Linked DNA regions of Oryctolagus cuniculus. The protein of the gene in region 4 interacts with the protein of the main gene of each other region in a biochemical or structural test. Links are inferred from orthologs where the notes say so. Each region holds a gene or a part of one and is shown on either strand. Other genes may lie near its edges. The genes, in order: TRIM28, CHAF1A, LBR and CBX5.

Region 1 (7,263 bases), on a different chromosome or scaffold from region 4:
GGCAGATGGTAGCACTATCATCCAGGGTGCCCGGGCCACCAGATGGGGCTGAGGTGCCCTCAGGAGCCACCACCTCCAAGCCTGAGCTGGTGCTGCCACTGGGTGAGGCCAGGCGGGGGCCCTCAGTGCCAGGGCCTTCTGCCAGAGCCATCAGCACAGGCTTGGTCTCCGGGCCCTCAGTGGCAGCAGGAGGTGCTCCAATAGCAGCCTCTGTTTCCTCCTCCTGCAAAGTGGTCAAATGTTCCGTAAGGTACAGACACGAGGGTGACAGGTATCATCCTCCAGCCACAGCCCTTGGGGACACACTCACCTTGACAATAGCCATGCCAGGGAGTGGTGGTGCACCAGGAGTTCCTGGAGGTGCAGTCCCAGGCTGCCCAGCTGCTGCAGCAGCAGCACCACGTTCAATAACGATGAGATTATAGTCCTCAGTGGTGCTGCCTGGAAACACCTTGAAGACAGGCGGCTGGCTATCAGCTGTGAGGTCCAGGTCCAGACGTTCTAGGCTGACCCGTGGCACCTTGCGCATGAGGCCGCTCACCTCACCCTCACCTGAGCGGGACCTGTAAGTGCATACTGGCGTGAGCTCCCTTTACTCTCATTCTTTCCCATCTACCACCACAGAGAACTCACACTCACCGCTTCACACCTGACACATGAGGCTCCGCACTTGAGTAGGGATCATCTGCTCAAGAGATGGAAAAAGACGGATGAACGGCTGATGTGTAGCCAGGGCACTGGGCTCTCCCACCCACCAGGCAGACTCACTCACCTGACCCAAAGCCATAGCTTTCCTGCACCTCCATGGGCTGTACACAGAACAGAGCATGGGGACCTCAGTGGGGCAGGTACAGCATGCGACTCCGTGCACTTCCCCTCCCTGGGTCCATTCCCCCGCTCACCTGGCTACTGCCAGAGCCCTGCTTGCTCAGGGGCCCTGGGGCCCTCGGAGGTGCCATGGGTGCAGGGCCTGTAGAGTTGGTACCAGGACGCTCTGCCACGATCTTGCCTGCAAGAAGAGACTATGTAGGTGTACCATTAGGGTGGCGACAAAGTAGAACAGGGACAAAAAACGGGGACCCACCAAAGGCCTCAGCACTCTTGGTCCAGGCATTGAGGTCCCACTGAAACTTCATCTCGCCATGTGGCTCCACGGGATCCACAATCATCTTGAGGGCCCGGTGCAACTGGAAGTAGATCTGGTGGGGCAAGCGGGAAGGGGCATGAAGCAACATGGGAAATGAACAGGGCTAGAGGGTGTTGGGGTTCCCACCTGTGAACCCACCAACACATACCAGCTTCTTAGAGAGCAACAGGGCTGTGTTGTTGTCACTCTCCAGAGCCCAAGAGGCAAAGCGCAGGATGTGCTCCTGGTGCTTCTGGATCTTAGTCATGGTCCAGTGCTGACGCTCCAGACGCTCCTGCTGACCCTCAGTCACCTTCTGCAGATGGAAAAGGTCAGCAGGGCAGTAAGACAGACACTGGGATCCCTGCCCACTCTGCATGGCACCAGCAGCCAGCAGCGGCTACCCAAGGACCCTCCCACCCACACGAGGATTACCTGGGCGTCGTTGACCAACACACGGCCCCGCTTGTTCAGCTCCTTCATGATCTGCAAGATGGCCATTTTGACATCCACCTGCACACGCTTCTGTACATCAGACACCTGGCGGATCCTAGGAGAAAAGGCAGGTCAGGGCAGGCAGGGTCTCGCCGAGAGAACCCCTCAGTCTTGGCACCCACACTTACGAGCTGCGAACCTCCTTGGTGCTCTTCTGCAACGTTGCATGTTTGTCCCCAAGGCGCTTCACCAATGAGGCCAGGAGCTTGCGCTGGTTCCTCACTGCATCCTCCAGGAACTGGTACCTGAGAACAACCAGAGAGGTTGGGTGCTGAACCTGGGGAAGGGGAGCACCCCCTACTGTGCCCTGGGACTCACTGGTGGTCCTTGTGAGCGTTGAGTTGGCAGTCCCGACAAGTCAGAGTGTCGCAGCTCTCACAGAACAGCACGAGGGGCTCATGCTTGTGCACATTGCAATAGACAGTACGCTCACCATCCCGAGACTTAGCCGGCCCTGCAGAGTAGAAACCAGGAGGCTGGACCTTGCTCTTGAGCACCTCAGGTAGCAGTCAGAGCTTGAGGCCTCACTTCCCACCTGTCCTGGGACCCTAGGCCATGTACTGGTAGCACCTCGAGAGCCCCGGGTCCTTGCTCCCAGAACCCTCTGCCCCAATCAGGCAAAGATGAAGATGTTATTCTAACTTCAAAGTGGGAATTCCATCCCCACCACTGTTCCCTCTCATGGGAACTTTTACAGACAGGCATGTTCCAGCGACACACACAAACCACCCGCCCCACTCAGCTCCCTGTCGCTAATAAACCTCAACAGGCACGTGGGTCCCTTTCCTCCCCAGAGCTAATCAAAAAGACAAGATGTCTCACATCGGAACACGGCTCAGCCAGAAATTGGCTTCCCCAACTGACATGCGCCCATTCCCTCACCCTAACCTTAGCCTAGAACCTCCGGAATCTAGAATCCCTGCAGACCCCACCCCATCCCGCCTGCTTTCTCAGGCCCTAAAGCCAGCACCTCTACGCCCCATCTTCCTGAAGTGCTATTCTCTGGGCTTGAAGGAACCTTAGTACCACCACCAAAATATTCCTCATGGGAGGGTTCTGGGCCAAAACCTTGGCCAGATTCAGGAGATTCTCAAGCTCCTTTCCATATCAAAGCCAACAGATACCCAGAAAACGTTCAGGAAGTCTAAACTGCGTATTCACAGCTAGAACATTTACAGGTCTCACCAGCACTGACAGCCCAAGGGCCCAGAGCAGCTTATCATGCTGCCCTATCCTGGAAGCCTCCCTTTTCCCAACACTCTCAAGCCAGGTGCCAGAGCCCCAAATTCATAGCACCCCTCTCCCTTACCTTTCCCTGTCTATGTACCCTGAAGTCTCCACTACTGGGACTCATGCCCCCCACTGCATTTCCCTGAGAAGTCCTCAAACCCTCTGTACAACTACAGCATGTGACTTCCCAGCCTGCGGCCTTAACTCTCCCCAGCATCCATGCTTTGGAGTCCTGGTGTTTGCAACTCAGAAAACCATCTTAAGACCTGCCCACCAAACGGAATCAGCACTACAAGCAGCTGAAAGCACACATAGGAAGGCAGCGCCGCCTCACGCACCAGTGGAGCGCACGGTGTGGTCCTTGGTGTACTTCACCCGCTGGTGTGCCTCCACGCATGTCTCACACAGTGGCTCGGAACACTCCACGCAATAGCTGGTGGCTGGGGCATTATCCTCACAGCTAGTGCAGCACTGTCAGGAAAAGGTAGGGTCAGACCAATCCAATAAAGCCTGACAGATCTGCATTTGCAACGCAGAAAATACAAACCCACGTTCATGTGGATACCTCGACCCACCCCAGAGCCTTGAGAAATGTCGAGGATAATGCCTAGAGTTGGTCCAGGCTCCTCCACGGCTCTGCCCCCTCCCCATGGCCAGAAACCTACTGGGCTGGGACAGGACGTACCTGGTTTGCATCTTGGGCGTCGGAGGCAGCCTTGCTGCCGCTATCGCGCATAAAGTAATTCTCCACGATGTCTTTGGAGAAGCACTGCTGCTTGCACACAGGACAGTCCACCACTGTTGGGAGACGGGACGTGAGACCACCGCCGGCCCACATCCAGGTTGCGCTCATCCTTCCCTCCCTGTGCGTTATTCTCTCCAAGCTAAGCCTCCGCGAAACCCACAATGGGTCTTCCACGGAGGGCCCAGAACCCATTCCTCAAGCCCTATCCGGGGCCTGGCGGTCCCCCTCATCTCCCAGAGTCGGGATAAAGGGCGGCGGGGAGGGGGAGGGGCGCCCCCAGCCACTACGTACTCACCGGCGCCGTCGCCCGCCGCGCCGCCATCTCCAGAGCTGTTGGCGGCGCCGGGCGCTGCGGGCCCGAGGCAGGCGCTGCAGGCCGAGTGCAGGCAGGGCAGCAGGCGTGGTTCCCTCTCCGGCCGCAGGCGCTCCCGGCAGACGCCGCAGTGCTCCAGCAGCTCCAGCGCCTCCCCGCCGCCCCCCGCGGGCGACGAGGCCGAGGCCGAAGCTGACGCCGAGGCCGAAGAGGCGGTGGCGCGCTTCTCGCCGCCCGCCGAACTCTCGCCCGCGCCTGGGCTGCCCGACGCGGCCGAGGCCGCCGCCGCCGAGGCCGCCGCCGCCGCCGCCGCCGAAGCCGCCATTCACACGCCGCCGGGGGCGCCCAGGGGGGAGGAGGGGCGCGGGGCCCGCCGCGCAGGCGCAGACGCGCTCGCCGCCAACGGCTGGGCCGCCGCCGCCGCGAGACCAAGCGCTGCCACGCGTCTCCTGGGCCGCTGCCCGCCGCGCGCGGGGCGATACCGAGGCACTGCGGGCTGCTGCTTCCTCGCCTTCCCGCTGCAGCACCCGCGCTTAAACCAGCCGCCGCCGCGACCCGAGCCACGCGCCACGCGAACAACCGCCTGCCCGCGCGCCCGCTCTCAGAAAGAGCCGCGGCCTGGGGGCGGGACAGAAATAACTGGCGCCGACGCCGCCGCGCACGCGCGTTCGGAGCCGCACGCCCGGGGGCGGGACCTGGCCGGTCGCCGCGGGCGAGGCCAGGAGTACGCACGCGCCCGCGCCGGGCCCTCCCACCACCGCCAACCTCACCTCGGCCGGCTAGTGAGGTGAGGGGCAGGGCTCTGTGACGTCACAGTCGAGCCCTGATTCGCCGTGGGGCGTGGCCTCGAGTCCTACAAACGTGACCCGCCCCGCCCCCCGCCCCGGACTCCGCCTCCGGAACGCCCTGGAGCCGGTGCGGGGCGACCTCCGCCTCAGTCCCCGCCCCTCTCCCGGCGTGCGGTTGTCTTCGGCCGCTGCGGCACCCGCTGACCCGGAGAGGGGACGGGGTGTGATGGAGTGGGCAGGGCCAAGGCTAGGGGAAGGCTGAGCCCGGGGAGGGGCGAAGGGGCGTCACTTGAGCAACGTGAAAGCTGCGGTTTGCGCGCGGAGCCTTACTCCGGGGTTTTTAACGTTTTATTGTTAAACTTGAGAAACAAAACTTGCTTAAATTGCAAGCTGCAAAGCCCCCAGTCCATAAAATCTCGCTTAGCCTCCCGTGTTTTGCCCTGCCGCTGCCCTGACTCCAAGCTGTCCCAGGTGGGCGAACTGAATCTGAGAAGTGCGGAATCCTCAGAGAGAGACAGGGTCTGGGAAGAATCCCGAGAGACTGGCGGGGAGCCGGCAGGAATCCTGTCTGAGGGGGGAAGCAGAATCGGGGGGGGGGGCTCCTGTCTGAGGGGGGAAGCAGAATCGGGGGAGGGATCCTGTCTGAGGGGGGAAGCAGAATCGGGGGGGGGGGCTCCTGTCTGAGGGGGGAAGCAGAATCGGGGGGGGGTCCTGTCTGAGGGGGGAAGCAGAATCGAGGGGGGGGTCCTGTCTGAGGGGGGAAGCAGAATCGGGGGAGGGATCCTGTCTGAGGGGGGAAGCAGAATCGGGGGGGGCTCCTGTCTGAGGGGGGAAGCAGAATCGAGGGGGGGGTCCTGTCTGAGGGGGGAAGCAGAATCGGGGCAGGGATTCTGAGGAGGGTCCTGTCGGAGGAGGAATCAATCCTGTCAGGTGAATCCTGTCGGGGGGGGGGGGTCCTGTCTGAGGAGGATGTGGGGGGTGTGGGGGGAGGGATCCTGAGGAGGGTCCTGTCGGAGGAGGAATCAATCCTGTCAGGTGAATCCTGTCTGGGGGGGGGGGGTCTTGTCTGAGGAGGGAAGCAGGGTGTGGGGGGAGGAATCCTGTCTGCAGAGGAATCCTGAGGAGGGTCCTGTCGGAGGAGGAATCAATCCTGTCTGAGATGAATCCTGTCAGAGGGGGTCCTGTCTGGGGGGGGGGGTCCTGAAGCAGGGTCTAGGGGGAGGAATCCTGTCTGAGGAGAGCCCTGTCTGAGGGGGAAGCAGGGTGTGGGGGGAGAATTCCTGAGGGGGTCCTGTGTGAGGATGGAAGCAGGGTGTGGGGGGAGAATTCCTGAGGGGGTCCTGTGTGAGGATGGAAGCAGGGTGTGGGGGGAGAATTCCTGAGGGGGTCCTGTGTGAGGAGGGAAGCAGGGTGTGGGGGGAGGAATCCTGTCTGCAGAGGAATCCTGAGGAGGGTCCTGTCGGAGGAGGAATCAATCCTGTCTGAGATGAATCCTGTCAGAGGAGGAATCCTGTGGGGGGGGGGGTGTTCCTGTGTGAGGAGGGAAGCAGGGTGTGGGGGGAGAATTCCTGAGGGGGAAGCAGGTCTGAGGGGGTCCTGTGTGAGGAGGGAAGCAGGGTGTGGGGGGAGAATTCCTGAGGGGGTCCTGTGTGAGGAGGGAAGCAGGGTGTGGGGGGAGAATTCCTGAGGGGGAAGCAGGTCTGAGGGGGTCCTGTGTGAGGAGGGAAGCAGGGTGTGGGGGGAGAATTCCTGAGGGGGTCCTGTGTGAGGAGGGAAGCAGGGTGTGGGGGGAGAATTCCTGAGGGGGTCCTGTGTGAGGAGGGAAGCAGGGTGTCGGGGGAGGAATCCTGTCTGCGGAGGAATCCTGAGGAGGGTCCTGTCGGAGGAGGAATCAATCCTGTCTGAGATGAATCCTGTCAGAGGAGGAATCCTGTGTGTGTGTGGGGGGGGGGGGTTCCTGTGTGAGGAGGGAAGCAGGGTGTGGGGGGAGAATTCCTGAGGGGGAAGCAGGTCTGAGGGGGTCCTGTGTGAGGAGGGAAGCAGGGTGTGGGGGGAGAATTCCTGAGGGGGTCCTGTGTGAGGAGGGAAGCAGGGTGTGGGGGGAGGAATCCTGTCTGCGGAGGGTCTAGTCTGAGGGGGTTAGAATCGGGGGAGGATTCCTGAGGGGGAAGCGGGATGTTGGGGGGGAGGAAGAATCCTGAGGGGAGGAAGCAGGGTCTGGGGGAGGGGAGGTAGGAGCTGGGAAGGAGAGCGGAATCCGCCCCCTCAAGACAGAAAACTCGACAGCTGGGCACGAGCCCAACACGCTGTTCCGTGGCCTTCCGATCCCGAGGTCTCGGTTCCCAGACCACTGAGACGGGGCGGAAGGCCGCGAGGGCTGGCGCGTCCAGAAGTGGACACCCCCTGCCGTCTCCCGGGAGCGCACAAAGGTGGCGAGCCGGGCGGCGAAAGGGGGAACCAGGCACGGCACCTCCCACCCCAGCCCCAGGTGCTCACACGTGCAGCAAAACCCTGTCGGGCCCTAGAGCCGGTGTGGCCTTTGTTCCCGGCGGGGACTGGGGGCCGC
Region 2 (6,784 bases), on a different chromosome or scaffold from region 4:
CGCACGTGGCCCCGAGCACCACCACCCAGGCCGCCACACCCTCGGCTCTGAGTCGCTAAAACCCTGCACTGCCGCCCTGCGGCCCCACGGGAGAACCCCGCGCCCCCGCGCGGGTGCAGGCCAGCTTCCCGGGGAGAGCAGGCGGCTGCGCCCACAGTCGAAAGAACAGGGGGCCCCGCCTCTCACAGTACAGGGGCGTCCCGGGGAACCCCGAGGTGCGGGCAGGGCCGGGACCCCGGGCACCAGGCAGTGGGCTGTCCGTGGCCGTCCATGGGACCCAGCAGGTGCGGGCACACCCCCGGGCCTGATGAACGCCGAGACGGAGCCCTGGGACGCCCCGGGGCCGGCCTGCCACGGGAGCCCAATGACGCGCCATGGCTCCGCGACCTGCCCAAGCCCACGCCCACCCCCGCACACAGGCACGCGCAGGCCCGGGGCTCCCCGTGTGCGGAGCAGGGGCGGAGCCGCGAGCCCACCCCCGGCACGCAGGCACGCGCAGGCCCGGGCTCCCCGTGCGCGGAGCAGGGGCGGAGCCGCGCGCCCACCCCCGGCACGCAGGCACGCGCAAGCCCGGGGCTCCCCGTGCGCGGAGCAGGGGCGGAGCCGCGCGCCCACCCGCGACACGCAGGCACGCGCAGGCCCGGGGCTCCCCGTGCGCGGAGCAGGGGCGGAGCCGCGCGCCCACCCGCGGCACGCAGGCCGCCCGCAGGCCCGGGGCTCCCCGTGCGCGGAGCAGGGGCGGAGCCGCGCGCCCACCCGCGGCACGCAGGCACGCGCAGGCCCGGGGCTCCCCGTGCGCGGAGCAGGGGCGGAGCCGCGCGCCCACCCGCGGCACGCAGGCACGCGCAGGCCCGGGGCTCCCCGTGCGCGGAGCAGGGGCCGAGCCGCGCGCCCACCCCCGCACGCAGGCACGCGCAGGCCCGGGGCTCCCCGTGTGCGCCCACCCACCTGCCCGTCGTGCCGCCGCTTCTTCATGAACTGGGTGATGCACATGCTGCCCGCCGACTTCCTCTTCAGGGAGCCGGGCGCGGCCGGGGCGGGCGGCGCGGCGGGGGCGGGGCCGCCGTCCTCTCCGGGGGCCGCGGGCGCCGCGGTGACGTAGCTCCAGCGGCAGGGCACCGGCAGGTGCTCCTGGTCGAAGCGCTGCAGCACCCGCGGGTGCACGTACCAGCACATGCGGAAGTCGGGCCGCTTCTCGTACACCGAGTTCTCCGAGATGAGCCGCTTGAGCCGGGCCTTGGAGGGCACGGCCGCGTCCTCGGCGGCCGCGGGCGGCTGCGGGCGGCCCGGGCTCGGGGGGCGGCCGGCGTCCCGGCCCAGCAGCCCGCGGCGGCAGCGCTCCTGGAACTCGCGGATGATGACCTTGCTCCCGTGCACGTTGCCGTGCAGCAGCGGCAGCAGCTGCGCCAGGACTGGGGGAGGGGCGAGCCGTGAGCGGGGCGGGGCCAGGACTGGGGGGGCGGGACGAGCCGGGGGCGGGGCGGGGCCAGGACTGGGGGAGGGGCGAGCCGTGAGCGGGGAGGGGCTGGGCCAGGACTGGGGGGCGGGGCGGGGCGGGGCCAGGACTGGGGGAGGGGCGAGCCGTGAGCGGGGCGGGGCTGGGCCAGGACTGGGGGAGGGGCGAGCCGTGAGCGGGGCGGGGCGGGGCTGGGCCAGGACTGGGGGGAGGGGCGAGCCGTGAGCGGGGGGCGGGGCGCGGCTGGGCCAGGACTGGGGGGGGAGGGGGTCGCGGTGAGCGGGGCCCAGCTGGGCCAGGACTGGGGGGAGGGACAGGGTGAGCGGGGGCGCAGTGAGTGGGACCGCGGTGAGCGGGGACATGGTGGGGGGGGCGCGGTGAGCGGGGGGGGGGGGCGCGGTGAGCGGGACGCGGTGAGTGGGGGCGGGGCACGGTGAGCGGGACACGGTGAGCGGGACGCGGGCCCCACCCGCTCCCGAGCCCCAGGGCACTCGGGCTCCCGGCAGGCCCCCTGTCTCTCTGTGAGGTAGAGGGGGATCTTGTGCACCTGCCGGTTCACCCCGAACACCCCCCGGCCAGGGCAGGAACCCCGCAGGGGTGCGGGAGGCCCTGATGCTACAGCCCCCCGGGCCCCCCACTCACCCCGCCCCCCAGGCCCCTCACTCCCCCCGCCCCCCCGCCCCCACTCACTCTGCTGGTCCCGCTTCTCCCTCTTGGAGGCCTTGGGCGCCTGCTCGTCGTCCGCGGGCGCCGTGTCCAGGAAGCAGGCCGAGAACTGCTGCAGCACCCGGAGGTCGGCGCCCGCGCAGCTGCCCACCGCGGACGCCCACACGCAGCCGACCTTCACGGGCTGCAGCACGCGGAAGCGCTTGCCCTTGGCCAGGAACTCGTCCCACTCCTTGGCCTTCAGCTTCTGCCGCACCTTGTGGTTCTCGGGGTCCGTGCACTCCTGCGGGGGAGAGCGCGCGTCGGTCAGGGCCCCGCGTGGGCCGGATCCTCCGCGCGCGGCTGGACCCCGCTGCACGGAGCCCGAGGCGCGGGAAGCCGAGCCCTGGCTCCCCGGCCCTCACCTCCGTCACGCCCTCGTCTTCAGACAGGTACCCGTGGGGCACGAAGAACCCGTCGTCCTCGTCCTCGTCCTCTCCCACGTCGTCGTCCTCATCCTCAGGGAGAAAAGCAAGCTCGTCACGCGGGGGAGCAGGGCCGTGGGCTGGGCTGGCGTGGGCGGGGCGGGGCTGGCAGAGCCAGTGAGCCGGGGTGGGGCTGGCGAAGCAGGCAGGCGGAGCCGCGGTAGTGGGAGGGGTTGGTGGGGCGGGGCTGGCAGAGCCAGTGAGCGGCGGGGTGGGGCTGCAGCCGTGGGCAGGACGGGGCGGAGCCGTGGGCGGGGCTGGCGTGGGCGGGGTGTGGCGGGAGCCTGTTAGCAGCCAGGCGGAGCCGCAGCTGTGGGTGGGGCTGGCGTGGGCGGGGCGGGGCTGGCGAGCAGGCAGGCGGAGCTGCGGCCATGGGCGGGGCTGGCAGAGCTAGCGAGCGGCGGGGTGGGGCTGCGGCCGTGGGCGGGGCCGGCAGGGCGGTGTTGGCGTGGGTGGGGCGGGGCAGGGCGGAGCCGCGGCTGTGGGCGGGGCTGGCGTGGGTGGGGTGGGGCTGGCAAGCAGGCAGGCGGAGCCGCGGTAGTGGAAGGGGGCAGACGTGGAAGGGGCGGAGCCGCGGTAGTGGGAGGGGTTGGTGGGGCGGGGCTGGCAGAGCCAGTGAGCGGCGGGGGGGGGGCTGCAGCCATGGGCGGGGCTGGCGTGAGCAGGGCGGGGCTGGCGAGCAGGCAGGCGGAGCCGCGGCTGTGGGCGGGGCTGGTGTGGGCGGAGCAGGGCAGGGTGGAGCCTCGGCCGTGGGCGGGGTTGACGTGGGCGGGGCTGGCAGAGCCAGTGAGCCCGGGTGGGGCTGGCGAGCAGGCAGGCGGAGCCGCGGCTGTGGGCGGGGCTGGTGTGGGCGGAGCAGGGCAGGGTGGAGCCTCGGCCGTGGGCGGGGTTGACGTGGGCGGGGCTGGCAGAGCCAGTGAGCCCGGGTGGGGCTGGCGAGCAGGCAGGTGGAGCTGCGGCCATGGGCGGGGCTGGCAGAGCTAGGGAGCGGCGGGGTGGGGCTGCGGCCGTGGGCGGGGCTGGCGTGGGCGGGGCGGGGCTGGCGAGCAGGCAGGCGGAGCCGCGGCCCTGGCAGCAGCCGGCGGCCTGTCCCATCCCGGCCGGTCCTTACCCCCTCGCTGTGGGACAGCGACTCCCCGGGCTCCTCCTCCTCCCACTCCTCGTCGCTGTCCACCTCGTAGTCCAGCAGCGTCTGAAAGGGACACGCGCAGGGCGTCGGCCGGCTTCGGGGACGCCAGGCCCCCCGGGCGCGGCGGGGTCCGGAGCGCGGGGCTCACCCAGTCCCGGGCCCAGGGGTCCCGCGGGCGGATGACCGTCGTCTTCTTGTTCCACGTGCCCCAGTAGGCCGGCCGGTGGTTCTCGGAGAACTGCAGGAGTTTCATGCGGCCGAACTTCCTCCGCTCCGGGACGCCGCCCACGATCACCACGTCACTGAGGGAGGCAGAGCCCCGCTGAGGCCGGCGCCGGGGGCAGGAGGCCGGCCCGGGGCCCGCGGGCCGCGCCCTCACCTGTTGAACAGCTCGGCGCTCGGGCCGCAGAGCCGCGTGGGGCCGGAGCGCAGGGGCCGCCGGCTCTTGAGGTCCTTCAGGAAGGAGAAGTCGCCGTCCTGCTGCCGCAGGAGCTGGTCCAGCCGCCGGCACAGGTCCTGGCCGAAGGCGGCGCGGCTCTGCGGCGCCAGCACCATGTGCTCCTTGATCTCAAAGGGCGCGAACTTCCCGCAGGAGCCGGCCAGGGTCTGCAACAGACGAGGGCCCGCTGGGACACGGGGCGCCGGCCGCGGCTGCTCCCAGGCCACTAAACACACGGCCGCCCCTGGCACAGGCAGACCGTCAGCGGCCTCGCCCGCGGGGACGACGAGCAGCCCGGGTCATGGCGGGCCACGCCGGGACGGGCGGGCGTCCGGCCTAGCCGTTAGCACAGCTGCGGCCCACGCTCGAGCGCTTGGCTGTGAACCCCAGCCGAGTCCAGCACCCGCGAAGGCAGCGGGAGACCTGGACCGAATCCGCGCTCCTGGCTTTGGCCTGGCCCCGCCCTCAATGTTGTAGGCAGCTGGGGAGGGCACCATCAGATGGGAGGAAGTAAGTGTTGTTTTTCTTAAAGATTCATTTATTTATCTAAAAAGTCAGAGTTACGGGGGGGGGGGGTCCTTCCATCCGCTGGTTCACTCCCCAAATGGCCGCCATGGCCAGGGCTGCGCCAGGCCCAAACCAGGAGCCGGGAATCCATCCGGGTCTCCACGCGGGTGCAGGCCCCAGCACGCGGCCCATCTTCAGCCGCCTTCCCAGGCGCGTTGGCAGGGGGCTGGTGGCCCAGGCGACCGCTCGGCCGGCCATGCCGCCAGGCTGAGTGAACAGCACCCAAGGCCTTGGGGGTGTGGGCTGGGAGCCAGCCCCCGGGGTCTCTAGCTGCTCCCTGGCGACCCCAGCACACAGCCGGGGCTCGGGGACGGGCGCTGGGCACACGGGTGCCACACCCCACGCCCCACGCAGAGGATCGGCCAAGCAGGCGCTGAGGGCGCACACCAGGAGCAGAGGCCGGAACACTGGGGAGGAGATCGGTCGCCCACCCAGAGGCCGCGAAGGGACCAGCGAGCGACGCTGACGCGGAGGAGAGCGCCAGAGAGCAGCCTCCGTGGGCCGCCAAGGACGAGCCAGGCCACACACAGGCCGCCATCTCTCCACAGAAAAGCTCCGGTGCGGCGGCAGCGGGCGGGCGCTCTCCTCCAGGGGCCCCGGGGACGGGTGCGGAGAGCGAGCGCCTCACAGGAGCGCGGGTTCGAGTCCCGGCTGCTCCACTTCCCATCCAGCTCCCTGCTGTGGCCTGGGAGGGCAGTGGAGGACGGCCCAGGTGCTTGGCCCCTGCACCCCCCGGGAGACCCGGATGGAGCTCCCGGCTCCGGCTTCGGCTGGGCCTGGCCCAGCCCTGGCTGTTGGCGGCCACTGGTGGAATGAACCAGCAGAGGCGAGATCTTTCTCTGTCGCTCTACTTTGCAAAGAAACAAACCTACGCAGAAAGCCACTGTCTCCCACTCCTGGGACAGCCAGGCTGTGACAGTTAAAACCAGGCAAGGCTGACCCAGAGCTGCGGGTGCCGGCGTGGGAGGGTCCCAGGACCAGGCTGCCAGTGGCAAGCAGCAGTTCAGAGCCCCCAAAGGGCAGCACAGGGGCTCTGGGAGGGCCTGGGGGGACGGCGGCCCCGGGGCCAGGATGCCCAGGCTCCGGGTGCGTGTGGCGGCCTCTGCCCGTCTCAGCACAAGTCTCTCCAGGGCCCCCGTTCCTCCCAGCAGGCCACTCCGGGGACAAAGCGAGGGACCCGTGCCTCCAGCTGTCACTTAGGAAGCCCCGCCGCCCGCCCGCCCACCGCCCGCTCACCTTGGGCGCCTGGGGTGTCTTTGGTTTCTGGAAGAACCTGGTGATCTCCGCCTTCTCCGCTTTGATGCGCTGCCGAGGGGAGAAGCCGTGAGGGGAAGCCGAGCGCGGGGCAACCCCGGGGCCGCGGCAGGAACCGAGCGCCGGCCCCAAAGGACCCGAGCCGGCGGGCACAGGCCGGGCCAGCCCCGACAGAACCCACCCCTCTACCTTCTCCTCTTCTCGTAACCGTTTCTCCTCTTCCTTTTTCCTCTTCTCCTCCAGCTTGGCCCTGTGAGAGGCAACCCAGTTCAGGCCCCACACGGCCGGGCCTGGCGCCACCACAGCCGGGCCTGCACCCACACAGCAGGGCCTGGCGCCACCACAGCCAGGCCCTGGCTTCACGCGGCCGGGCCTGCACCCACACAGCAGGGCCCTGGCCTCGGCCTCATGCGGCTCCTCACTGCTGCCGTACAGGAAGCAGTGTACCCCCCCCCCCAAGATCTGTTTATTTATTTGGAAGTCAGAGTTAAAGAGGGGACCCACTGGTTCGCTCCCAAAGTGGCTGGGCCAGGCCGAAGCCAGGAGCCTCACCCAGGTCTCCACGTGGGTGCAGGGGCCCAAACACCCCCCCCCCAGCTCCCGCACCCCCTCCAGCCCTTACTCCAGCGCCCCCCTCCCGCACTCCCTCCAGCGCCCCCTCCCGCCCGGCTCCGCACTCCCTTCAGCGCCCCCTCCCGCCCAGCTCCCGCACTCACTCCAGCGCCCGCCCCCTCCTGACCGGCTCCGCACTCCCTCCAGTGCCCCCTCCTGCCCAGCTCCCGCACCCCCTCCAGCGCCCCCTCCAGCCC
Region 3 (7,409 bases), on a different chromosome or scaffold from region 4:
TGCTGTCATGACTCAAAATCTCTACTTCGTAATAAAGCGAACTCCCGGGCCACCGACCTCTTACCACTTCACCATCCGCAAACTTCCTACTTGGCATTTTCTAAAATTAGCCTGAACAATTTTAAAGAAAAAAATTGAGTCAATATGTGCACAGTTATATTTATATTTTTTTCCATAGGCTGATCTCGAAGCTACAGCTTTCCAGATTTTCTTAATAAATGGTCAAAGTGCAGGGCCAGAAGCGTTTCTAGAGGAAAGGGGTACAACTCCTTAAAGATGAGAAAACTGAAGTTTAACAATGTAAATGGCAGGAAACAGCAGGTACCACCACACAGAAGGTGTCCTTTCTGCCACATTGTATCCCATGTGGAATCACTACATAAGGCTGATTTAGCCAGTGTGACACATGCGACACTAAGGATTAGTTATGACAATGTATGCAGGCATCAAATAGTTGCTCTAATGCAAAATGCTACCCACCTACAGTCACCGTATTTCCTGCTAATCGAAAGTCAGAGCAAAAAAAAAAAAAAAAAAAAAAGAGCACAGTCTCGCACAAGACACATTTGCTGACTGTGTATTTGCATATTGTTTTACAAAAGTTTTTAAAATGTTTTCAATTACATTTTAATAAATTGCCTTTATTGAAAACAGACTAGGAAAACCAAAAACGTGCAGCTAATATGCCAATAACCCATCAACAAGAAAAATAATTCTAAAATTAGAATGAATAGCAAATGTGGGCGTTATAAGCTTTTGATTTTTGGAGCCAAAGCCCAAACGTCTACCGAGTAACTCTGCCAACCACCCACGCAGAGCAGCACGCACCTGGCCGTCATCCAAGTTCCCCTCTCTCAAGCCTGTGGCAGACACCGACCCCCCAATTACAACATTCTTTTCCACTGAATCAAAGCCTGGCCCACGAAGCCTGGGATCTACAACACTCCAAGAAGCCACCAACAAATCTGCGAGCAGTGTCACTTCCACGAGGCCTGTCCCCCACCTGAAATGTCAGGTGACTGCTGGTGCCTCCAGCTCCTGGTGGTCACGCTGCTCCCTCTGCTGAGCAGCAGGTCCACCACCAGCGCCTCCGACCCTCCAACACCATGAACCAGCCGGCGGGGGCCCGCTCTGCTCCAAGAGGCAGACAGCAAGACCCATGGGGGCACGCTAAGTCACTTGCAGCTGGCCAGCAAGGCGACACAGGGATGCACATTCCTGTCACAGCCCGAGCCCTCAGACCACTGCGAGAAGGCTGCCCGACCTGGGCCTCCTGGGAAAGTCTTTCCTGAGCACACCTCCCCGCTGTTAATCACCTGAGAAAAACCTGCCCAAGCTTCACTCGTTCACATAGCTTCTAGATAGACAGCAGTAGATTACAGAAAACACAAGTGCTTATCTGGCGATTCAAAGATGTCAGCCAGTTACACATTAGGTAAGAGCCTGCTTTCTTCCCAACACCTGAGATAGCATCAGTGGGTAATGAATGGGTGTAGGCTCGAGGTATGAAGTCAGGCCCGGCCAGGGAGTCACCCTAGGGGCGGGCACCTGAGCAGCGGCCAGCTCTGGACAGGCAGGAGGCGCACAGAAAGGGAAGGTGACAAGAGCAAGCTTTGCCTGTTTCAACACTGAGCCTCAAGCCCCAAGTACGAAGAAAGAGGAAGGAAATGTGCCCTACTTCTCTCTTCTCGTGTGCCCCCTCCTCCCCCTGGGCTCCCCAAAGTCAATCCACCGTCCTAAGTGCTAGTTCTACACTGCTCAACCGGGGTTTGAAGAAGGCAGTTCCTACAATGAAGACTTCAGGGCTACCTGTAAAGGCCCGTGAGCAGATTCTTTCTGGACCTTTACAAAAAATGTCATTTTTTGGACATCTTTGCCTTGCACCTATGACACAGTGCACTCATAGTACTGTGCAATACTGAACACAGGTCAAGGCCAAAAAGATTTTTCTGTTACCCATTAAGTAAAATGGTTTGAGTCAAAGTAAGCCATCTGGTGGATGCATGCTACGTCCCAAAGCTTAGTTTTAAAAAAGATTTACTTAAGAGTTGGGACCTGATAGTGATCTTTCCTGACAGACGCAAAAAAGAAACCAGGGGCCTGCGCTTCAGCACAGCGGGTAGAGCCGCTGCCTGCAGTGCCAGCATCCCACATGGGCATGGGCACCAGTTTGAGTCCATGCTACTCCATTTCTGATCCAGGTCTCCGCTAAGGCCTGGGAAAGCAGTGAGTGGAAGACGGCCCAAGTCCTTGGGCCCCTGCACCGGCATGCAGAAGAAGCTCCTGGCTTCAGATCAGCCCAGCTCTGGCCGTTGTGGCCCTTTGGGGAGTGAACCAATGGATGGAAGACCTTTCTCTCTGCCTCTGCCTCTCTGTAACTGCCCTTCAAATAAATAAATCTTAAAAAAAAAAAAAAAAGAAAAGAAAAAAGGAAGGAAGGGAGAGAGAGACACACAAGAGACACAAGAGACAGAAAAAGAATAGAAAAAGACGACAAAACAAAAGAAACCAGCACTCTGCTTGGGAGACCACTGTCTCACATACAAATGTTCCCAAAGACGAAGCCAGCAACACGCGGACTCCTCCACTTTGCACAAGATCCACACACAACTGCCAGATGGGCGGATATGGTGCAACTGCATCCTAACATAATCTCCTGCAGGGCCAGGGTAGGACGCAGGGCCCCAGACACCTGCGCATGTCATTAGGCCAGAGGGAGTGAGACTGACGAAGATTGGCTTCTCTGGGCAAGGACATTAGCCGGGTGCTCCGAAGGAAAACCCGTTTCCTGACCTCGGTCATCAGGAGCAGAAGCTCCTGGAGCCGCAGCCTCCCCTCTCTTTAGCCGGAGGCTTGCTGACTCTTCCGTCTCAAGAGGCGCCAGCGTGTTACTATTTATCAGTGTTACAATCCTCTGATGCCTTTCCCTGCCGACGACTGTTACCCGGTCTTCCGGACATTCCCTTCACTTTTACCAACTGGTCTGAATGTGACAGAAACAACTCAGGTGAAGGTGCCTGCAACACCTGCGCCGACCAGCACGACGCACAAGCCCTGGCCTCGCTCCCTCCCGCTGCACCCAAATGCCGCCTTCCCGGCCGGCCGTACAGGCACAGCGGCCTTCTACTCTTCCCACTCCCCAGAAGGCTCTCGGAAGCTAAACTTGTCCTGAAATTTGGCCAGGGCCAAAGCAAGCCCCCCTCCCCCTCCTCCCTGGACCCCAGCCTCCCCTCGGAGCAATCCCCAGGGTGCAACCCCGGCCCGCCGGCGTCCGCCCGGGGGGCGGCAGCGGGAAACGCACACCCGCGGCGGGCCGAAGCCCCGGGCCGCCCACACCCGGCCCTGAGCGTGTCCATTGTGTCCCTTTCCAAGCATCGCCGGACAGCGCGGCGCTCAGCCAGAGCGCCTGGAACAAGGCCCCGCGCGATCAAGTGCTCACTAAGTGCCCCTTGAGGCTGCGGGAAGCGCGAGGCAAGCTGTCACTTCGGGGCGGGAGGATCGTTTTAACCTTAAAAGGCTGGGAAAAAAAAAAAAAAAGAAAAAGAAAGAAAAGAAACAGGATCGCGCCGCAGCAGGAGAGAGCAAGCCGACCCAAAACGTCCGCGTTCTGAGACCGCCGGGGCCAGGCACCACAAAGCCGACTCCCACAGCAGCCCCGCGCCGCCGATCTGTCAGCGGCGCTCGACCACGGGACAAAGGCGCCCACCGCCGCCCGCCCACCCCGCGCCGCGCCACCGCGCGCCTCCAACATGGAGGGAAACGTCCGCGGTTCAAAACCCGCCGCTCCACTTCCGCAGCCGCCGACCGCCCAGCGAGCAGGCGGAGCGGGAGGGGAAAGCAGCGAAGGCGAGGCCGCCGCGCCAGGCCCTGCGCCCGAGGACCCCGGCCCCCACGCGGCGCCCGCCCCTGCCTCCCCCCACCCCTGGCCGCCCCTCGGAGGCCGCGCCGCGGGGAGCGGGGAGCGGAGGGCGGGCGCCGGGCGGGGCCGGGGGCTCACCTGCGCCGGGCTCCGGCGGGAACTCACACTGCGGCAGGGAAGAGTCGCGCAGCAGCACCTCCGCGGCGGTTCCGCGCGCGCGACGCTGCCCGCCGCGCTCTCGCGCCCCGCGGTCCCGAGGCCCGGGCGCGCGCGCACCCGGTCCCGCCCCTGGGGGCCGCCCAGAGCTCCCATTGGCCCCTCGGCGTTTTGAATCGTTCCTGGCGCCGTCGATTGGCGGCGCGCCGTGGCGCGTCCGCTCCGCCCCGCCCCGCGGCTCGGCTCCGGAGCCCGGGGACGCCGGGGCATCCGAGCGGGCGGGTCGGCGCCTGGTGCAGCTCGCGGGCATGTTTGGCCCGGCCTTATCTCGGCCGCCCAGGCGCCCTCGCAACCCACGGACCGCGCGCTCCTCGCCTTTACCCTCCTGGCTTTTCGCAGGGGATAATTGGGGGTCCAAGGTGGCTTGGCAGAAGAGATTAAAAAAAAAAAAGCTTGGAAGAAAATAATAAATTCGTATGGTGATAACGAAGGTTCTGAGCCGAAGGTGCTTCTGGTTAAAATGGAATGGGGGCCATTCTTAGCGCGAGCTACGATGCCGCGGCTCCTGAGGCGTCCGGGGGCAGCTGGCGCCCGCACGACGCTGCCGTGGGAAGGGCAAGCCCGCCACGACGCGGGGCCAGAGGCGGAAAGGCCCGCAAGCCTGGCTGTAAGGGACCCCCCCTGGTTCCCAGCCCCTGTGCCCCCTGCAGTCTATCATCATTGCATGGCTGGCTTCCTTCCTTTTGAGGTCGAGAGTTTAAAACAGGCCGGTCGGGCTTCCCTGTTTTGCAGTGTGGTTTTAATCAGAGTCTTTCTCAACCCACTTACCAAGGACACCTAAGTGGATTTCTGCTTCGGAAGCGCGAGTAGGCTTGTTCTAGCCTAACACAGTTACAAAACACTGAAGAAAGCAGGCGGATACGTTGGGCCGCCTCAGTCACTCGCGTTCGGTGTGAATGAGCTCATCGAAGTCCCCCCCACCCCCCAGCCAGGAAATACGAGAACGAGATGAAGGCCGGAGCTGGAAACCAGAAGCCTCCTCGCCCCTCCTGTAACCCTACCCGCGTGTCCATCAAGTAGCCCCCTCGGGGAGGAATGTCTCTTCCCCGGGGCCCTGGGATGGGCGACGCCTGCAGCCGCGCCCCTTCCAACCCTATGAAAGAGGCGGGCAACTGGGCGGGTCTTCCTTCGTCAGAGACCCCCGACTGGAGCTGCTGCCGAAGGTGCCCTTCTCTCCACCTCCGCTTCCCTACGCCTTGTCTACCTCTGGCCTACGCCATGCCTCAACTATGCCCAGGTGTGTGTGCGCTGTCCCACCTTTGATTTAAAAGGCATTTATGAATTCATTTGAAAGGCAGAGTTACAGAGGGAGACAGACACTTCCATTGGTTCACTCCCCAAATGGCCACACCTGCTGGAGATGGGCTAGCCCAAAGCCAGAAACTTCTTCCCGGGCCCCAGCATTGGAACCGTCTTCTTCTGCTTTCCCAGGAGTATTAGTAGGGAGCTGGATTGGCAGTGGAGTGGCCAGGACTTGAGCCAGCACCCATATGGGATGCCAGCATCGCAGGCCGTGGCTTTACCGGCCATGCCACAGCACCGGCCCCTGCTGTCTCACTTTTAAGTAAACTCACTACTTTGCACCCTGTATATGTGCCTGTACTTAGAATGCTTCTCCAAGTGCAAGAAGGCAAGGACCTGGAATAAAATTCAGTCCCACCTCTCCCACTTCACTAAGAACAGGCCCTGACATCAAATTGCCATCACGGTGACAGAATTTGTTTACAGAAATGGACATTACACTTCCAGGTCAGAAAACCCTTGGGAGTTTTGGCAAACCCCTAAGTCTCAGTTGCTTCAACCCCAAAGGTAAGGTAACATTAACACCACTTCGTAGAGCTTCACAAATCAAAGTGCTACACCAGGTCCACAGGGACCCAGCACAGATACCATATCGAGACCTAAGAGATGCTGCTGTCCTTCAAATGTCATTTCCGATCCAGCTCTCTGCTGATGGCCCAGGTAGGCAGTGGAAGATGGTCCAAGTCCTTGGGCCCCTGCACCTGCATGGGAGACCTGGAAGAAGCTCCTGGCTCCTGGCTTCAGATCAGCACAGCTCCAGTGACTGCGGCCATTTGGGGAGTGAACCAGCAGGTGGAAGAACCTTTGTCTCCCTCTCTCTCTCAAATAAATAAATAAAATCTTTTTTAAAAAGTCATAAGATTGTAAATTACTAAAGTCAGCTTAGTTAACGTTATACCTTGCAGATTACTGAAGATGTTTTTTAAAGATTTATTTAGTTTTATTTGAAAGGCAGAGTTACAGGGAGAGGGTGAGACAGAAAGGTCTTCCATCTGCTGGTTCACTCCCCAAACAGCTACAATGGCCAGAGCTGGGCCAATCAGGAGCCAGGAGTTTCTTCCTGGTCTCCCACAGGAGTGCAGGGGCCCAAGCACTTGGGCCACCTTCCACTGTTTTCCCAGGCTATGGCAGAGAGCTGGACCAGAAGAGGAGCAACTAGGACTTGAACTGGCACCCATATGGGATGCAAGCAACACAGGCGGAGGTTTAAGCTACTACGCCACAGTGCCAGCCCCATTAAATCATTTTGAAAATAACTGATTTATTTTTAAAAATAATAAAATTTTTAAAAATAATAAAATTAAAAATTATTGCTTAGAGAAACTAAGCAATAATTACTGTTCCTTTCTAGTGAGCACAATGAAGTATACCGTGAAAACTCAAACATGGAAGCCACAGTTATACACTGTTATAATTTTCTTTTTTAACAATCGCTGAAAATTGTGTTGATTTGGAAGTGAAGACTTTTCAGCTTTCACTCTCAAAAAGATGCTTTTCAATCACAATTAGCAAGCTGCGAATATTCAAAATGTATAAAGTCGAAGTCCTTTAAGATGCTTGTCTTGGGCCCCCTGCTGGTCACACGGCCAGGAGTGACATCAGTCCCCTCTCCATCTACAATGCGGGCAGCAAAGCCCCATCTCACTCAGCCCAGAGAGCAGCCAAGAACTCCCCACAGGCCAGGAAATCTTTCTGCACGAAAGGCACGCTGGGGGGTCTCGTCCAGTCTGGCTAGCGTTCCGCCCTGCTCCCCAGAGCGTCCTGGAGCTCCAGCCTGAAGCAGGTCTGGAACGTGAAACCCAGCTGCGGCCTCCTGCGTTGCTTTATAAGGCTCACACTTCCACTCCGGAATCTGGGCAGGCTTCAGTCATGATGGAAGAGAGCTGACAGAAACACACTCCCACCGCCATCGTTCGATGTGCACCGCTTCTGTCCACCGGGATGTGAGCTCACGATCACCATCAAGCATTAAATCTGTCCGTCTCAGTAGCAGCTTTTATTTGAAACATCCACACATGTGTGTACTTGCAGC
Region 4 (6,784 bases):
TGAAAGATCCAGAAGGAATTCCTGGCTTCAGTCTGTCTGGTCCAGCCCTGGCTGTTGCAGCCATTTGGGAAGTGAACCCCCAGATGGAAATTCTCTCTCTGTCTTTTCCTCTCTGTAACTCTGCCTATCAAATAAATTAAAATCTTTAAAATAAAAAAAAGATTTCACAGAACTCCAATGAACTGATAGGAATTGGTTTCGGTGCTGTCCAATAGAAGTACAAATCATAATTTTAAATTTTCTAGTGGTCACATTAAATGTGGAATTAATTTTATTTATTTATTTATTAGATTTATTTTTATTTATTTGAAAGAGTTACAGAGGTGGACAGCAAGAGAGATTTTTCCATCTGTTAGTTCACTCCTCAAATGGCTGCAATGGCCAGGGCTGGGCCAGGCTGAAGCCAGGAGCCAGGAGCTTCCTGGTTTCCCACGTGTCTTCTGTTGCTTTCCCAGGCGCATTAGCAGGGAGTTGGATCGGAAGTAGACGAGCTGGGACTTGAACCTGCACCCATATGGGGTGCCAACACTGCAGGTGGAGGATTATTCTTCTATGCCATAGTCCTGACCCTATTTTAAAGATTGATTTATTCGTTTGAAAGGCAGAGTTAACAGAGAGAGAGCTTCCATCCACTGGTTCACCATCCAAATTGCCCCAGTCCTTGCTGGATCACACAGAAGCCAGGAGTCTGTCCATCCAGGTCTCCTATGTGGGTGATAGGACTCAAGCATTTGGGCCGTCTTGTCTGCTTTACCAGGAGCATTCGCAGGAAACGGATCAGAAGCAGAGCAGCTGGGACTCAAGCCATGCTTGATATGAAATGCCAGCGTTACAGGTGTCTGTTTAACGTGCTGGGCCACAATGCTGGCCCCTGAAATTCATTTTTTTTTTAAGATTTATTTTATTTGAAAGGCAGTTACAGAGAGGCAGAGGCAGAGAGAGGTCTGCCATCTGTTGGGAGCTGACCCTATCCAAAGTCAGGAGCCAGGAGCTTCTTCTGGGTCTCCCACGCAGGTGCAGGGGCCGAAGGATTTTCATATTAATGTTCAAGTAGTATTTTTTGATCTATTAATTAAATATATCATTAAAATGAATTTCAGGGGGCCAGCGCTAATGTGTAGCGGGTAAAGCCACTGCCTTCAGTACCAGCATTCCATGTGGACACTGGTTTGAGTTCTGGTTGCTCCACTTCCAATCCAGCTCTCTGCTATGGCCTGGGAAAGCAGTAGAGGTTGGCCCAAGTGCTTGGGCCCTTGCATCCACATGCAAACACCTGGAAGAGGCTCCTGGCTCCTTGCTTTGGATTGACGCAGCTCCCACCATTTCAACCAATTGGGGAGTGAACCAGCAGATGGAAGACCTCTCTCTCTCTACCTCTTCTTCTCTCTTTGTGTAACTCTGACTTTCAAATAAATAAATAAATATTAAAAAAAAATAATAAAGGTAGGATCTATGTGTACTACAAACGTCAATGTTTTGCCTTTACTTTTGGATAAAGATGTGAGTCGGGAGCCTTTGGAACATGCTGCAGGTTATTTCAGTACCCAGGTTCAGATTTCTCATCTGGAGCTTGTTGGTGTTTTAGGTGGGACAATTCATGCGTCGTGAGATACTTCGCATTCTCCCAGCCCCAATGTGGCACTTGCGGCACAGCAGTCAGAAGATGCTGTCCGCATTTCTCAGGAGGATTGCTGTCATCCTTTCCCCAGATACGAGAACCCTTGAGCTTGAGAGACCCAGAGCACTGGGAGATAGGAACTCAAGTAGCCACCTCAAGACGTTGAGGGGATCTGGTGGGCCCATTGACTCACCGCTAGAAATACTCAGATGTTTGAAAGGTCCTTGAAACTGTCTCCTTGCCATTGAGGTGCTCTGGTACCCCATGATAGGTCAGAGAGGGAAGGATCTGTGGTAGACAGATGGAGCATTTGTCATGATTTCGTGATTGCCCTGGGTTCATGAAAGACTGGGCCAGATTTTGCTCCGCCTCAGCCTTGTCTGCAAGTGGACACCCTCCACACAATGCTCCCTTATCTGCTGCAAGCTAAGGTGGGTGCCTGAGACCGTGCCTGGTACTGATCCCTGAGTACCTGTTTGTCCTGTGCATACATACCTGTGATAACGTTTAATTTATAAATTAGCCCAAGTAAGGATTAACCACTAATAACTAATGGTAGAATACAACAGCTATTATACTATAATGAAAGTTCTACGAATGTAGTCTCTCAAAATATCTTTTTTTTTTTTTTTGAAGATTGATTTATTTCTTTGAAAGAGTTAAGAGAGAGAGAGAGACAGAGAGAGAAAGCTCTTGCATCTGCTGGTTCACTCCCAGATGCCCGCAATAGCCAGGGCTGGGCCAGGCCAAAGCCAGGAGCGAGGAGCTTTCTGCAGGTCTCCCACATGGGTGCAGGGGCCCAAGGACTTGGTCCATCTTCCACTGCTTTCCCAGGCCACAGCAGAGAGCTGGATCAGAAGTGGAGCAGCCGGGACATGAACCAGTACCCACATGGGCTGCTGGCATCAGAGGTGGTGGCTTTCCCTGCCGTGCCACAATGCCAGCCCCAGAACTCTTACTTTGTGATGATGTGGGCACTGTGACACGGTGTTAGGCTGCTGCAGAAGGGTCACTGAATGCGAGCATTGCAGTTTTCAGTCTGTCTGACTGGGGCTACTTCCAAGGGACTAATGGGCAGGGGGATGAGGGAAGGCTGGATGAAGGAACGGCTGACGTTCCAGCCCAGGCGGAGCCAGGCCGTGCAAGATTTCATCACACTACTCAGAAGGGTGTGCATGTTAGAACTTAGAAGTTGCTTATTTCTGGGATTTCCCTTTAATATTTTCAGACCACAGTAGCTGAGAGCACAAAAGTGGGACCTCAGATTGGGGGAGGGGGATGGCTACAGGATGTGCTGGTCAGTGGTCAGATTCTGCCGCTTTACAGAGGAGGAAATGAGCTGAATTATTTATTGAAGATAATGTAACATGAAGATGGTGGAACAGTCATCCAAGATCCAGTGTCTTTGGCCCTAAAACCTAAGCTCTTAATTATACTATACTGTATTTGGGGTGAAAAGTAGTTGAAGTAGAAACAGCAGTATCAAAATGGTGGGAAAAGGATAACCCCTGTTTAGGACTGCTGTCTTCCCATCAGCAGGGATTCTTCCCCACCCCCTGCCCCCAGGCCTACTTGCCGTGTTAGAATAGGGCCCCTTTCTTGACTTGGTGCGTTAATTTCTTCTGGGATTGTAAACTGTACAATTTGAGAGCTTAGGGGAAAGTTACTGTGTGGGGAAATATAAAGGAGATGTTCTTCCAGTATTAGCTCAGATGATTTAGAAATTAATTTTGTCTGAATCTGGCACTCTTGGCAGGAAGTTGTTTAGGTCTAAAGTAAATAGCTGAGATTTTCTCATCGTTCTTCTCCCTGGTTGAGTCAGATTATTTGGCTGGTGTGTGTTAAAAACTATTCCCATCTAAAGACTCCTTATGTAGGGGCTGTCGTAAGTCACAGCACACCGGCATCCCATGTGGATGCCGGTTCCTGTCCCAGCTGCTCCACTTCCCATCCTGCTCACTGCTGATGTGCCTGGGAAAGCAGTGGGGGATGGCCCAAGTGCTTGGTCCTCTGCCATCCATGGTGCAAGACCCAGATGGAGTTCAGGCTCCTGGCTTTGGCTTGGCCCAGCTATTGAGGCCACTTTGGAAGTACACCAACAGATGGAAGTTCTCTCAATATGTAATTCTGCTTTTGAAATTGAAGATCTTTAAGACAAAAAGATTCCTTGCTTAAATTTAAAAGATAAAAATAATAAAACATCTTATTAGATATGATTAGAGCATAAGGTTAAAGAGTTATCCCCAAGTCAATCAGGGATTTACAGAAACTATAATATATTTATAGATGTGTCTTAGTAGAAATAAGTCCTTAAAATACAGCTCGAAGAACCTTGGTTGCCGCTGACTAAGGGGAAAGGTGATACCTGGTCCAGTTTTTCCCATGTGGGTACATTTCTTGGTTTGACTTCATAAACTCATAGTGTGGTTAGTTTTGGTTTAAAATCTATGCTGGGAATATAAAGGAGAATTTTGAGAATACCAGTTATTCTCAAAACAGCACTCCCTTGAACCAGAGTTAGTTAGATGTGATTGCTCAGCTTTGTTAATGTAACAATACATGTTGACCACTAGCTGATTACAGACTTGAGTCCAGAGCACTTGGATTCGTGTACTCCACGTCGGCTTCTTCGTCATCTTTTGGTTCGCCGTTATTGTAATGATTTAAGACCATACTGCCTTCTAAATAACTGGTTACAATCCTCTAACACTCACTGGCATTTTTTCAAAATATGAGTACCCCTGGAGACAGTGGACAGTGAGGGTGCGCGAGGTATCAGGCTGTCCTCTCTTTAGCTGTTGCACAGATGATAATGTGTGGGAACCACTCCATGAGCGAAAGTTGGTTTTTTTTAATGGCTTTACTGAAATATAATGTATTCACTGTAAAATTCGTCCATGGAAACTATAGTTCTGTGATTTTCCATACCTTTTTAGAGCTGTGCAGCCGCCTCCACACTCCACTTGCAGAGCGTTTCTGAGGCCATGGCCCTAGGCAACCACCAATCTGCTTTCTGTCTCTCAATTGGTCTCTCCTAGGCTTTTCATATATATACTCTCTTGGGCCTGGTTTCTTTGACTCAGCATGTTTTTGAAGTTCTTCCAAGTTGTGGCATGTATTATATTAGTATTTTGTTTTTTGGTGTTGTTGTTGAATAGTATTCCATTATATGGATATACCACATTTCGTTTATCCACTCACCGGTTGAATTGTTTTCTGGTTTTGACTGTTAAATACTGCTGTAAACAATTGTGTCCGGGTGTCCATGTGGACATATTTTCTTCATTGCTCTCGTGTAGAAATTTAGGATAGGGTGTCTGTCCTTTGTGCTACATGGCCTCTCTGAAGGTATTGGATTTTTTATGCCCTTGTTTTCTTTTTCCCCGTCTTTCTTGCCCAGGGAGCATAATACTTGGGAACCTGAGAAAAACTTGGATTGCCCTGAGCTAATTTCTGAGTTTATGAAAAAGTACAAGAAGATGAAGGAGGGTGAGAACAACAAACCCAGGGAGAAGTCAGAAAGCACCAAGAGGAAATCCAATTTCTCCAACAGCGCTGATGATATCAAGTCCAAAAAAAAGAGAGAGGTAAGCTTCCTTTCCTTTTTTCTTCACAAACTGTTATTTTGCTGCGAGAAGGGGAGAGGGAGGGAGGGAGGGAGAGAGAGAGAAAACCACCCTATTTCTATTCGAACCGTGGACTATGACCCACAAGCTAAATTGTTGAATTGCTGAACAAAAGAGCTTCCAGGAGGTGTGTTGGTTAGCCACAGTGCCCCCTCCTGGCTGAGTGAGAAACACAATTTGTGACTACTGAATAGTTTTAAGGTGGGAAAATCACATCTAAGTAAAACTTAAAACCACTCTCTGCCCTCTCCATAAACAGATGTCTTAGTTATCTTAGGAGGATCTTTGGTGAATTTTGGAAGAATGGAAAAGAGCTTTGAAATGTCTGCCATTTTTTTTCTTTTCTTTCAAGAATGGCACTCACTTTCAACCCTTTATACTCTCGTTCTTAATGGAGGTGAGAGAAACATAATATGCAACTAACCATTGTAAAGGATACAGTTCAGTGGCATTTATATTCTCTCCTGATCATATTATTTCTACATAATCTGAATAAGAAATTAATTTTCAGGGAGCTAGTGTTATGGCACAGTGGGTTAAACTGTCAGCCTATGATGCTGACATCCTCTATGGGTGCTGGTTGAAGTCCTGGCTGCTTCACTTCCAATGCAGCTCCCTGCTAATTCACCTGGGAAAGTGGAGGAAGATGGCCAAAGTTTTTGGACCCCTTCACCCACATGGGAGGCCTGGATGGATTTTTGGGCTCCTGTCTTCAGCCTGGCCCAGTCTCAGCTGTTTTGGCCATTTGGGAAGTGAACCAGAGGATGGAAGATCTCTTTTGCTATCTCGTTCTCTCTCACTCTGCCTTTCAAACAAATAAGTAAAATTTTAAAAAAGAAATTAATTTTCCCCTTCATTTGGAACCATTATTATTTACTGTGGGAAGAGTTAGGAAATTTTAGTTTGATCATTTGCTTGACTCCTTCTGCTCTGTAGCTCTCAGGCAACCAGCACAAGCATTGCTACTGTCTTTTTTTTTTTTTTTTAATAAGTTTTTAAAAAATGTTTTATTTTGTTTATTTGAAGGACAGACAGAGATCTTCCATCTGCTAATTCACTTCCCAAATGCCCTCAATTGCTACGGCTAGGCCTGGCTGAAGCCAAGAGCTGGAAACGCAATGTAGGTCTCCCTCATAAGGTGGCAGGGACCCAATTACTTGAGCTATTACCTGCTGCCTTCTGGGCTGCACAGTAGCAGGAAAGTGGAGTCGGGAGCAGAACTGCCTCTTGAACCTGGGCACTCGATATGGGCTGTGGGTGTCCCGGGCGGCAGTCTTCACGGCTGTGCCAGTGCCCACCCATCTGTTTTATTCATCTCCCTCTTTTCCATCTGTGGGTGTACTTGCAAACACACAGTGAACCCCCCAGCTTTCATTCCTTTCATGTCAAGGTTATAAAGCCTTTTGTGGTGAAGGATATATCACACACTTAGAGTTGAGTAAAGTAAGAGCGGAAGTCCGTCTCTGAATCTCCCAGCACCGCTGCCACAGGGGTCCCCATCTCTCTGCATTCTCTTTGGGCTCCGTCTTTGTAGAGCATG

What was found.
Region 1: the proteins of CBX5 (region 4) and TRIM28 form a complex in vitro, tested with the Homo sapiens proteins (6 studies listed by BioGRID, with this or other methods). The link is inferred for Oryctolagus cuniculus from reciprocal best matches to the Homo sapiens genes CBX5 and TRIM28.
Region 2: the proteins of CBX5 (region 4) and CHAF1A form a complex in vitro, tested with the Homo sapiens proteins (2 studies listed by BioGRID). The link is inferred for Oryctolagus cuniculus from reciprocal best matches to the Homo sapiens genes CBX5 and CHAF1A.
Region 3: the proteins of CBX5 (region 4) and LBR form a complex in vitro, tested with the Homo sapiens proteins (2 studies listed by BioGRID, with this or other methods). The link is inferred for Oryctolagus cuniculus from reciprocal best matches to the Homo sapiens genes CBX5 and LBR.

What each region holds. Positions count from the first base shown.
Region 1 is NC_091449.1:97,124-104,386, forward strand, and holds the start of TRIM28 (transcription intermediary factor 1-beta), read right to left. Parts: upstream 4,638-7,263; 5' UTR 4,235-4,637; coding exon 3,892-4,234; intron 3,650-3,891; coding exon 3,537-3,649; intron 3,323-3,536; coding exon 3,190-3,322; intron 2,076-3,189; coding exon 1,940-2,075; intron 1,867-1,939; coding exon 1,750-1,866; intron 1,677-1,749; coding exon 1,562-1,676; intron 1,443-1,561; coding exon 1,296-1,442; intron 1,200-1,295; coding exon 1,085-1,199; intron 1,010-1,084; coding exon 903-1,009; intron 810-902; coding exon 773-809; intron 686-772; coding exon 640-685; intron 564-639; coding exon 311-563; intron 224-310; coding exon 1-223. UniProt on the Homo sapiens protein: Nuclear corepressor for KRAB domain-containing zinc finger proteins (KRAB-ZFPs).
Region 2 is NC_091447.1:59,793,641-59,800,424, reverse strand, and holds part of CHAF1A (chromatin assembly factor 1 subunit A), read right to left. Parts: intron 6,226-6,784; coding exon 6,165-6,225; intron 6,027-6,164; coding exon 5,958-6,026; intron 4,322-5,957; coding exon 4,095-4,321; intron 4,018-4,094; coding exon 3,864-4,017; intron 3,779-3,863; coding exon 3,698-3,778; intron 2,620-3,697; coding exon 2,527-2,619; intron 2,406-2,526; coding exon 2,147-2,405; intron 1,413-2,146; coding exon 949-1,412; intron 1-948. UniProt on the Homo sapiens protein: Acts as a component of the histone chaperone complex chromatin assembly factor 1 (CAF-1), which assembles histone octamers onto DNA during replication and repair.
Region 3 is NC_091444.1:40,005,621-40,013,029, reverse strand, and holds the start of LBR (delta(14)-sterol reductase LBR), read right to left. Parts: upstream 4,154-7,409; 5' UTR 3,998-4,153; intron 112-3,997; 5' UTR 98-111; coding exon 1-97. UniProt on the Homo sapiens protein: Catalyzes the reduction of the C14-unsaturated bond of lanosterol, as part of the metabolic pathway leading to cholesterol biosynthesis.
Region 4 is NC_091442.1:57,188,247-57,195,030, reverse strand, and holds part of CBX5 (chromobox protein homolog 5), read left to right. Parts: intron 1-5,018; coding exon 5,019-5,205; intron 5,206-6,784. UniProt on the Homo sapiens protein: Component of heterochromatin that recognizes and binds histone H3 tails methylated at 'Lys-9' (H3K9me), leading to epigenetic repression. In contrast, it is excluded from chromatin when 'Tyr-41' of histone H3 is phosphorylated (H3Y41ph).